2 linked regions of the Arabidopsis thaliana genome follow. The protein of the gene in region 2 interacts with the protein of the main gene of each other region in a pairwise test. Each region holds a gene or a part of one and is shown on either strand. Other genes may lie near its edges.

Region 1 (7,216 bases), on a different chromosome or scaffold from region 2:
CGTCATCTCTACCGCTACAGTTTCTGCTGTCGTTTCTGTCTTAATAGCTTCAGGTTGGTTATATACTCTGCTCTGATTCTGTTTTGGAATCTTGTAATGAGTGACACTCCAAGTTACTTCCTATATGTATTGAAGAATGAAATGAATTTGGTATTGGATCAGGTTGGATTGGGTTTTTCTATGCGGTGTGGTTGGGAACAAGAGGAAGCCTACGCTTGGCTAAGCAATCGGTTTCAGTGGTGGGATCAGCCATTTCAGGTAACACTATCAGTCGTCATCAACACCAAGACCGGGAGGTAAACATCGAATCAACCAACTGAGAATCCGTCCTTACCGCGTTTGTAAATAAACCCCGACTTTTGGTTGTTAATGGAAGCTTGATATAAATATGATCTATGGAGTTTGTTGTGAAGAAGCAGAGAAAGAATGATAAGAATATTTCAAAATGCAACTTGAAACATTTTGTGATCAATGTCTACGGATTTTTGGATCTATGTATGCATACATTGTGTGTTTTATGTACTTAAGAAAGAATAATGATCAGTATCCATATGAAATCTCAACTCAGATCTCTCCCTCTCTCTACATTTCGGCTGCAAAAAAAAAAAAAAAAACTTGAAACCCTCTAGCCAACCAAGAGGCTTTCAAAAAAATATCCAAACTTTCACCACATTTTGATGATCTTCCAATTATATAACTTATGATCACACCACCAGATCAACCTCAAAAAACTAAAAACCCGAAAACCCAAAAACAAAAACTCATACATTGATCATCCACTTTATAATCAAATCATCAATGGAACTTGAGAAGAGGAACCTCCAAATTTCTTCATTTTGGTAGTGATATTCTCTCTCTCTGTGCAAAAATCAACACTCTTGAGCAGCTTGGCTCTCTACGTGTTCTCCTTCTTTTACGCTGAGAATTTCATCGTCACAAAGATATATACTGCATACATGTTTCTGAGTATATATAGAGAGAGAAAGATGAAACAAAAAAATAAAAAATCCAATATATATAAAAATCCAAATTGATCAAGAAAGTCATTTCTCGTGCCAATCTGGTCTGCCTAATGTAAACTCCAAACTTGGATTTTCACAACTAAGATTTCCACACCTCTTTGCTTGATCATTCGACCTTTGCTCCTGCCAATTTTAACTTTATATTAGATTAAAGGACAAAAAAAACACTAAGAAAGGCAATATCTATCTATACAAATATGATTAGATGGGAATTATCAGAACCTGATTTTGAATGCTGGATCTTTGATAATGAGAGATCATTGATGTTGATGAAGTTCTGATCATTGTATCTATGTCGCTTGAGCAGTTATTACTTAATGGCCATGTCTCTCTATTTTATGATTTAAGAAAAGAAAGAAAACAAATTAAGGACAAATTGTATTTATTGATGTATAGATGCCCTAAAAATAAAATAAAAATCACTACACACAAATTGCGTTTTTTTGCAACTTGCTATATGACCACAATCTACATGTCATACTTATGAAGCAAAATTCGTTTATCCTAGTCTTCCTAGATGAATCTTAAGAACCCAAACCAAATTATAATTAAAAAAAAAAACTTGGTACATATAATTAAAGTTCATCAGCCATAAACCCTAACCAATTTCATCTCATTGTAACCAAAACCATCACTCAAATTTTTTCCCCTTAAACTGAACGAAAACAAACTTAAAATATCATCTAAAAACTATTTTTGTTAGAAGAAAATGGATAGATGTGGGATAAACCAAACAATTGTCGTATGAATTACTTGGTAGGAAGTAGGAACAATTAGGTGAGAGAACCCTAAACCCTATCTCAAATTTCGTCAATCTTATTCTTACCTAATGTTTATATATACTTATCGTGTGTATAATACATGTACGTATATACGTAAACGTACCGTGAAGAGTTACTCCAACGAGGTTGTGTGGAAGAAATGTCAGTTTCTTGATGAAGAGAAGTATCATCAGATTGTGCCCTTTGATCCGTCGATGATTGATGATGAACTTCGTTTCCATTTATGCCCATTTCTTCTTCTCCTGACCCATCTGAAATTTTATTTTAACTTTTTATCAAGTTTCGTTGTCTCAAATCAATCACTTATACCCTATAAGGAATCTCATTTAAAACTGAACGATTCTTGTAAGCTTTTTTGTAAAAGACAATGCAGTGAAGAAATTGTTTTTCTTAAAAAATAATTTCAGCATTTCGTGTTGACCAACCTAATATGTGTCTCAAAAAATAGTTTTACAGACTCGAAAATTGTGCCAAATAAACTTTTAATTGGTTAAAGAAAATCCATATGAAACAAGTGGTTTTTCTTTATTCTTAATTCATGAACTTTGCTTGGATATGAGTTTACACTTCACACGTTTTAAATTTAATCTTTTACTCGATTTTTTTTTCTTAGAGAACATCAATATTGGGGATATATGTTTGTTTGGTTTGCTTTGAACTTTGACCACTCAACTTTAGGGTTCAATCAAAGGAAGGATAAAAGCCTTGAGCTTGACCAATATCTTAGGGCTCGTTTTTTATTATTTTGGGGAAAGGGAATAGTAGAAATAGTAGAATCAAATAGTAAAAATAACAGAAATAATTTCACGTCATTATATCTCTACATACATACAAATATCGAATCACAGCTTCAAATTCTGATTGAGAACTAATTTCTTATAAATATTGTAGTCAAAAAAAGCTATAATAGTGATTATATTGGACCTCCATTTCTATAAAATTCTGGTGGAGAATCCTAAGCTTTATTGTATATCTGTCTTATGTTATTTTTTGGTGAATTGTATATCTTTCTTATTAAAAGCCAGTACCATTTCTTTAGCATATATAAAGCTGAAAAAAGCTATACTAAAGAAATGTGAATATGCATAACATTATATGTGTGTGTGTGTGTAAAGGAATCACACGTACCTGATGAAGCAGCAGGCTTGTTAGTGGTCTTAACAGTTCGATACATCTGCAAAAAAAAAAAAATTAAAGGCATGATGAGAGCTCTAAAACTAGAATAAACCATAAATCCAATTAAAGACACAGGAAAAAACCAAAATAAATATCGGACAAAAGATACTGATAAACTAAATAGATTTATTTTTGTATAATGTGATACAGAATTACAGATGACAAACTGGAGAGATATATGCAGACACATATGAACTTTATATTATTAAATAAATAATATATGTAGTACATATGTGTGGTTTTCTGGGTTTGTCTTGGAACTGATGATGTATATATAATTAATTATTTATGATTTTAAGACCACGAGGTTGATGTCTGAAAGAAGGTTGAGTAATAGAAAGATTGTATTATTATCATTGAGTAATGATGACTACTTTTGTCCCCTCTTCCTAATTTAAAAAAGAAAAAATGAATTATAATCCAAAATAACTTCTATCTATCATCTCAATTCTCCATTGTTTAATAATTCTCTGAAAGGTTTCAGTCACTTAAAGCTATAACTACTCTCTCTTTTTCTCTCTTTAAATTCATTCAACTGCTTCAATTTTCTTGGCAATTGTGCCATCTCTTCCAAAATATGACTAAACTTAAAGCAAAGACAAAACAAGAAAATAAAAGTAACACATCAGAATTGGAGCTCTATTCATTGCTCTGATGATATATACGTACACAAAAACCTTGTTTCTTGATTCAGCTGTTTTTGTGCAAAACGCAAAGGAGAAGAGAGTGACATGATGGTGATGAAAACTATGAAATATCCCTAATTATAGAAAATCTTGATTGGTAACGAACTAACTCGACTAGATTAAACCTAAATTAACAAATAAAAATTGATTCTTTGTTGTGTCTAATTTAATTTCAAATAGAGTATAGATTATACCTGCAAATGGCTCTTCACATGTGCTAAAGTTAAGTCTTTTACATCCATGAGCTCAAGAACCGACTTTGGAGTTGCTCCTAGAATCACAACAACAACAAGAATAAAAGATTTAAGACTTTGAGAATAAAGTGAAGAAAAATGGGAATGATCATTAGAATGTGATTATGATATAAATGTGTACTTTCATGGCCGCCTAGAAGCTCAACAGCGTGAACAAACCGCGCGTGGAGGCTACTAGTCCAACGCATCCTTGGAGCTCTCATGCTTCGCTTTGTCGGCATCTTAGGCAAGAATCTTGATCTGATCATCCCATGATGATGATGGTTATGGTGATGAGGAGAAGACGAATCTGAAGATCCAACGACTCCATACTGATTATGATGATGATGATGATGCAAAGGAACACCTTTAAGCCTCGGGGAAGATTGTAATGATCGGTAAGCGTTGTTGTAGCCGGAAGATGAGTTTAAGATTGAGATTTGATCCATGTCTCCTCCTCCAAGAGAAGGTAATGAAGAGTTTTGTTGGTGGAAAGGGAATGAACGGTTGTGATAGACCGGGATGCCTCTAATTGGACGGTGGAGATTACTAATCTCGGATTCATCGACCCTTTGATGAACACCATTGATGATAGGGTTGTTGTAATGCTGCTGATGAGGAAGATTAAGGGTTCTTCGATCAGGACAATGGAAGATTCTTGCTGTTGGATGGTTATGATGAGATAAAGAGAGTTCAAAGTTGGACGATCGGTTGTTGTTTTCGAGTTGGGAGGATCTTCTTGAAGATTCTTTAGAAGATTCATTGTGATGGTATTGATGAATATCTGGGAGACTGATGTGGAGAGATAGATCAGGGAGAGTAGTTGTTGTGTTTGTTTTGGTTTTCTCTAGAAAAACACCTTCCATAGACATAATTAAAGAAACCTTTCTCTTGCTATTGCTGCCACTGAAGTTGTTGATGATGATAAGGATGATGATGGTGATGATGATGATGACTATTCTTTTGTTTTTTTTTTCTCCTGAGGGTTTTGCTTAGGAATTTAAAATGATTTTCTCTAAGGAGAAGAGAAAGCAGAGAGATTCTTTAGGCAAAGAAGTCAAAAGGGTGTCTGAAAGATTTGATATTTTTTTTGTTCTCTTTCTCTCTCTATATCTCAGAAAGAAAGGAGAAAGTGAGAGAGATGAAGTTAAAGAGAAGCTTAGAAGAAGAGAGAGAAGTTGAGTGATGATCTTCTTGAAGAAACAAACATGCTCAAAGTAAGACGCAGAGAGAGAGAAAAAGAAGGAAGAGAGAGATAGAGAGAGGTATGTGTGTTGTGAAGCAAAGGCAGAAGAGAAAAAAGGAATAAAACTAAATCCAGGAAAATTAAAAACAGGTAAGAGAGAGAGATATATGTGTGTTCGTTCATGTACATGTATGTGTATGTGTATGTGTGAGATGTTGTTCCTCGAGAGTATATCTTGGAAAACGATAGTTGAGAAAGGGTAATATTGTCATTCGCTATATTCCAAATATTGGAAGCTTTTTATTTTATTTTGGGATGGTATTTCAATTTGTCTTTTTCACCTTTCAACAAGTAAACCCATCTATCAATATAATATAAATTATTTTACGGCTAGATTAATTGATTTCATGTTTTAGTTTATTCGTTTAAACTACTGAAATTTTGATTTCCATAGATAAAGTTGAAGAATAATAGCAAAATAAATCTTGTTTTCTATCAATTTAGTAGATGAAATTTTCAAATGTAAAGTGTATTTAATAATCGACCAATTTCATAGATGAAAAGCATACAACTTTTAACAATAAAAATTAATACGATTATCATCCATTAAAACCTTAACAATTTGAGTAATAAATCAAAAACTCAATTGATCTTTAAAATAATAATGTTCACAGATTATCATGAAGAATAATAATTAAAAATGTTGGAGAAGAGTACAAGAGGAGAGAGAATAAAGGGTCGCTCTCTTCTGTCCTATCTAATCTATAGTCAAAGCAAAAGCCAAAATTAAATTAAATAAATAAATAACAAGAAGAAAAAAACAAACACAAGACCTATTCTAAAATAAATAAAAAGTTTCATTATAACCAAAAAAAAATAAAATAAAAAAAGAGAGAGTGCTTTGATTTTGGTACCCCGGAGACGACGGGATACATATGTTGAGACTTGAGAGAGAGAAAGAGACTGTGTCCTCTCTGACTCCTTTTTTATTTTCTCCCCCACTCTCTTCGCTTCTCACTTCACTCTCTATTCACATCTTATTATAATAATTCCTTATACGATTTTGGAATCAAACAAATTCAAGTTTCTGACCGTAGATTGTTCAACTATACCTAAAGAGATAAATATACATTAAATATCAGTACGTTCTTGAGTTTATGAATAGCTCGTATAGACATTTAGTTCCTAGAGATGTGACTACAATATCAACCGGCTACTTGTTTGACCGTTTTGTGTTGTCTATCAATTAGAGCCAAATCGAAGTCATATACATGTCGCTTTAAAATACGTACTTGAAAAGAAATAAAATTAGGCAGATTTATATATATTTTTGACTTGTTTGTGTCGAATGTAATAATGTATGCATTCTAGTGTTTCTGTTTTCTTTGTACTCGACATTTTTACATTCACATTGTTCGTTTATAATTCTACAAAAAAAATTATGGAGTTGACTTTATCTACTGTGAAACAGAAATATGTCATACTGAAAAATAATGAAAAATATACAAAATTGAATAGTATTTAACTATTCGTATGTTTTTGTCAAAGAATTATTATATTTTTTTATCCCACTTTTAATTTGGAATATATAAACTCTGTGTTTTGCCTTCCAAAGGTACGGAAATTATTGTCTTAGAAAGTATCTTTCTCTTCAAATACATACATATATGCATACGTGTGTACAATACAAGGTGCCCTCGTACGTATATAAACCAAGTGTCATATAAAGAATTCGATCAATTATTGTAACGTAACATGCATGCTTTTAGATTATACGTGAAGTTAAATATATATTAGACCTAAGAAAATACTCAGCCAGAAAGTGGATTTTGTTTGTTTCCCTTAATAAACAAAAACAAGTGAACCCTAAAGAACCTAAATATTTGCTTCTAATTCCCTTTTCATTCTCCCAAATATTCCTTCTCAATTTAATAACTCTTTTCTAATTTTCTTTAAATTGTCTTCTAAGAAAAAAAATAAACTATTCACTCCTCACATGACCATATCAATACAACATCTCGACAAATCATTAATGCCTTGAAATAAAAATATGATAAATTGTAAGACTATGTTTATATATCAGGAAATTTAAATAAGTGAGATTTTATTCGTTGATTATACAGTAATATAT
Region 2 (5,091 bases):
GTTGAGTAGGATCTTAAGTGATATATATAAGATATGAGCCTTTCCATCTATTGCCAATTGGTTTTATGTTGGAAGCCCACACTCTAATAAACTCAATACAAATACTAAAGTTGCAAACAACTATACTATATTTGCTTGAAGTTCTATTGTGATAGGATTTTGACTTACAAAAATCATATTCTATGTCTACACTATATATTGTGAAACCGGATAGCCATAATATTTACAAAAACTTAAACTAATTTCAGATATAAATAAATTTAAATTTCACTATGACCTAGTAATTATCACGAACAATTGGGAAGTTACCACAAAATGGTGGTCCTGTATTATGGAATTTAGCGAAACCACACACTTGCGGGTAAAAATAATGATGACAAAATGATATACATTGGAATGTAGAGAAAGTATATACAAATACTAATAAATAGAAAAGGGCATGGAATTGACGAGGATCGAGGGAAAGTGTGGTGTGGCAGAAATGTTATTAAGTGTGAAAACAACTGATGAATGAGCCTTTGCTTAATCACTTCCATGCACAAGTCCCTTTCCTCTTCCTCTCTCTCCCACTTCATCGAACTTTGCGTCCTTTAAAGAAAAGAAAAAACAAAACATTTTTCATCCAATTGAATTCAAACCGTAACCAGATTAGATTTAACTTCGTTTATTTTACATTATCTTCTTCTTCTTATTTTGCGGAGAAGACTTGTACAATGACCTCAATACGCTGAAGAGTTGGATTCACTGCGAGTGTATATGTGCATATAGAAACAAAATATCTAGCTATATGACCACTTTTAACTCTAAATATGGGTGTAATATGCCAAGGACTTTCTGGAGATCCACCACAACACACATTCAAGTTCAAGTTCTGCTGCTTTTAGGTCTATGAAAACAACACCAACCTTATTTTCATATTGTTCTCTCTTTATCTCATGCATAAGTATATTTTCATATTGTTCCCTCTTTATTTTCATGCTTTTAGTTGATATTTTTTTTGTTATTGTATTATCATTAGTGCGACGACACAAAGTCACAAACCATGTAACAAAATGCTTAACCAAAATAGAAAACCTTAACAATTCCAATATATTTTCTGTTATTGCATTATCAATTATCATCAAATTTTTTTCCACTGTTGCATTATCATCATTGCGACGACACAAGGTCACAAACCATGTAACAAAATGCATAACCAAAATAGAAAACCTTAACAATTCCAACTTTAACATGTGAATTAATATTATCTTAATTTTTGGATGTTCGACATTCAAATAAACTCCTAATTAAACCCTATAGATATGGTTAATCTTCTATACATGTGTCACGTACGACACTTATTAGCCAAATTGAAGTTTTGTTTTTTCCGCAAATATATAAGCGGTTTAAATAGTTGGTAAAAAAAAAAAAAAGTTAGCATGTTTGTCGTATGTACATGTTTGATGCTGCACAAATCTTGTCGTTATAAAACTTTGAAATCTTTATATCTATTATTCCTCACCGATCGGCTACTAATTCAATGGTACTTGATAATGATAATTAGTCCCAAAGTAGAGTTTTTATCTGATTATATAGAAACAAAGACTAGTTCCGGTTTGATATATAGAAGAAAGAAAAAGGATGGATAGGAATAATAAAGAAGATAAACCGGTTCAAAAGGTAGTAAATGAGAATGCAGGTATGCAGCTTATCTCTACAATGGCCTCTTCATCACATGTCGCCAATTTGTTTAGGTACAGTGTCTCTTCATATTTACATAAATAGATATCTCTCTCTCTCTCTCTCTCTAAACCACATCTTCCTCTCCACCGTTCTTTCTCTTCCTTCTCTCTCTGGACTTCAACTTCTGGAGAAGTACAAGACATTTATAAAGTACTGCTCATCACCCAACACTAAACACAATTGTCAAAAGGGTGTGGTGGAAGGAGAATCTACTTCTATCTGAACATCGATCAGTCATATCTTTTCAATCAAATCAAAGCCCTCCTCTCTCTCTTACTCCTTTTTTGTTTTAAATCAAGAAAAAGACTCCATGTCGAGCATGTCCATGTCGTCCTCCTCAGCTCCAGCTTTTCCACCGGACCACTTCTCATCTACGGACCAGCTCTGTTACGTCCATTGCAGCTTCTGCGACACTGTCCTTGCTGTAAATTTTGGATTATTCTTATATCTCATCTCAATATTTCAAATTTATAACTCTAGCTAGGGTTTCACATGAATTACTAGTTAATTAATGTGTGATATTAATTGGCAGGTGAGTGTTCCTCCGAGTAGTTTGTTCAAGACGGTGACGGTCAGATGCGGCCACTGTTCGAACCTTTTGTCGGTGACCGTGAGCATGAGAGCTCTTCTTCTTCCATCCGTTTCCAACCTTGGCCATTCCTTTTTACCTCCCCCTCCTCCTCCTCCTCCTCCAAATCTTTTGGTACATCGGTTTCATTCATCGAAACAAATTAGGGTTCTTTCATAAAAAAAACAGAGAGTAATAATTAGGGCTTTTCTTCTCGAGAAACGCAAAATTGTGAAACTCAATCCAAAAATGTTTAATTTTGTTAGCATCCCGGGATAGATCTAAGTAGTTTGGCAATGGCTAGTTAACTAGGGTTTCTTTCGAAAACATCATATCAAAGTAGTTTGGTTTGATTAGTGTTTTAAGTTTTTTTTGCCAATTAGTTTGCTGATTTCATTTATTAGGAGGAAATGCGAAGCGGAGGGCAGAATATAAACATGAACATGATGATGAGCCATCACGCTTCAGCTCACCACCCGAACGAGCATTTGGTTATGGCGACTCGCAACGGAAGATCAGTGGATCATCTACAAGAGATGCCTCGGCCACCACCAGCCAATAGACGTAACCTTCCATCTTCTACTCTTTATTTCAACATCTTCATATATATATATATAAGAAAACAAAAACCCTAATTCACAAAACCTTATCCATTCATTTCTTCAACCTTTTATATATACACTCCAAAGAATCTCGTTTGTTTATAATGAATTTATAAGTTTTGATTTCATTTTTGTTCCCTCGGTATGTGACTTCTCGCATGCACTTTTTTTTTGGTCAGAAAACAATTTCGACAACAAAAGGAAAATTAATAAGTGATGTGTTTATCCCCCGGAAATCTAGCTAAACCTATAGATGCCAACTGATATAGTTTTGGGGGTAGATCGTAAGAAAGATAATGATGAAGTGATGATGATAACGAGCAAAGTGAGAGGGAGAGGGAGAGAGAGAAAGGAGGAAGAGTCGAAGAGTGATTGTTTTTTTTTTTTTAATTGTTTTTTTTTGGTGAATTTTTAGATTTTTTGGGGAGGCACAATAAAAACCAATAATGTTTTTTTTAACAAAAGGGTTTGATTTGGAATTAAAATTGAATATGTTCTGTTTGTTTGTTTGTGGAAAAGCAGCCCCAGAGAAGCGACAAAGAGTACCATCTGCATACAACCGATTCATCAAGTAATAAGTTTATTCCTTTGCTTAAAATGGCATAATTAAATTTCCCTAATTAACCATTTTACTCATATAATTAAGGGTCGATAGATGTGACAGATTTGATTTCATTATATGATATAAAAATAAAAATGTTGACAGAGAGGAGATCCAACGTATAAAGGCAGGCAACCCTGATATCAGCCACAGAGAAGCCTTCAGTGCTGCTGCCAAAAACGTACCATTTCTTTTTTTAATATATAAAACTAATTTTCTATATTGCATTATATCCATAATCATACAATCTCATTTTAGTCTTTATGAATTGAACCTAGCTAGATTATTGTGGAGCTACATTGATACTCACATTGCTTTAAATTAAAAACATAAAACAAAATAGTTACCGTAATAATCCATAATTCATAAGCTTTATCCAGCATACATTAGCTAGGACTAGCCTTAGGATCTACGATCTAGGGTTTCAGTAAAGTTCCCTAGCAGATATTTTAGTCTGGCTTTGTATTCGTATATTTTTGACCAAGTTTTTATGTTATGTATAAGATAAATACACATTAATGTTAAAAGAGCTAAGTATATGATGTAATATGTATGAAACAGTGGGCTCATTTCCCTCACATACACTTTGGACTCATGGCTGACCATCCTCCCACGAAGAAGGCTAACGTGCGCCAACAGGTTACTTACTACTACTACACTATATTTATTTATTCAAATGTATATAATCAGGAGCATGCATGCATTGATCATCAAAACATAATCGAGATATTTTATTTTGGTGTAATGAAGGAAGGAGAGGATGGGATGATGGGAAGAGAAGGGTTTTACGGTTCAGCTGCCAACGTTGGGGTGGCCCATAACTAGCTACGAAGACTTTCCCAATCTTTTGTAATCTTCAAAATGTGGTTACTTTCAGCTCAAACTTAACTTTCTTATTACTATTTTATGATATTTGATAATCGATCAGGAGACCTTTTTTTTTTTTCTTAAAGAAATTTTCGGAACTACTAGAATTTTCTCTTGGAATTGAAAATATATTGTTTTCTCAGTTGCCGTGTTATATATTTAATATCAAAAGCATGCAGTAGCTAAGCTAGCTAGGCTTTACCATACGTTAATGATACTGTCTTTTTCTCTTTACAATTCCATATTCGAATTTGATTTGTATATAACATATTGGGAAGAATCATCAATATGTATTCAGCTCAAAAGAATTCAACAAAAAAAAATGCCTATTATCAATAAAAATTCACTGGGCTTTAGAAGGCCCACAATAGTATAATGGATCCTTTTTGTTGGGCTTATTTCAGTCAGGGAACAATAGCCTTGATTTTGTTGGGCTAACCGCTAACGCATTAAAAAAATCACGGTCAATCGGTGATCGTCAAATCTAGTTACGTGGCATTTAATATTTAAAACTACAAAATTTACCAGTCTTGGCTCAAAAAAATATTTATTCACTTTTCTTCTTCTCTGACCAAAATCAAAATTTGTTCGATTCTCATTCTTCTTCTCACAGTCGTAAACCCTAAAAAAAAAACAGAGAAATCAAATTTCAATCTCGAAGGATCTACAAAGAAGCATGACGACCGGAGATCTCGTTAATATCCATCCTACTGAGCTTAAATTCCCCTGTA

The links.
Region 1: the proteins of YAB3 (region 2) and KAN interact in binary tests that used the Arabidopsis thaliana proteins (3 or more experiments, as listed by UniProt).

The regions. Positions count from the first base shown.
Region 1 is NC_003076.8:5,406,322-5,413,537, forward strand, and holds KAN (Homeodomain-like superfamily protein), read right to left. Parts: upstream 5,446-7,216; 5' UTR 4,772-5,445; coding exon 4,042-4,771; intron 3,938-4,041; coding exon 3,861-3,937; intron 2,979-3,860; coding exon 2,933-2,978; intron 2,056-2,932; coding exon 1,908-2,055; intron 1,354-1,907; coding exon 1,245-1,353; intron 1,146-1,244; coding exon 1,044-1,145; 3' UTR 542-1,043; downstream 1-541. Other genes in the region: AT5G16550 (voltage-dependent L-type calcium channel subunit), read left to right, coding at 1-53, 163-320. UniProt on the Arabidopsis thaliana protein: Transcriptional repressor that regulates lateral organ polarity. Promotes lateral organ abaxial identity by repressing the adaxial regulator ASYMMETRIC LEAVES2 (AS2) in abaxial cells. Required for abaxial identity in both leaves and carpels.
Region 2 is NC_003075.7:72,031-77,121, reverse strand, and holds YAB3 (Plant-specific transcription factor YABBY family protein), read left to right. Parts: upstream 1-1,545; 5' UTR 1,546-2,032; coding exon 2,033-2,146; exon of another isoform or gene 2,147-2,233; coding exon of another isoform or gene 2,234-2,254; coding exon 2,255-2,425; intron 2,426-2,694; coding exon 2,695-2,854; intron 2,855-3,414; coding exon 3,415-3,463; intron 3,464-3,598; coding exon 3,599-3,674; intron 3,675-4,054; coding exon 4,055-4,132; intron 4,133-4,243; coding exon 4,244-4,318; 3' UTR 4,319-4,577; downstream 4,578-5,091. Other genes in the region: AT4G00170 (Plant VAMP (vesicle-associated membrane protein) family protein), read left to right, coding at 5,037-5,088. UniProt on the Arabidopsis thaliana protein: Involved in the abaxial cell fate determination during embryogenesis and organogenesis. Regulates the initiation of embryonic shoot apical meristem (SAM) development.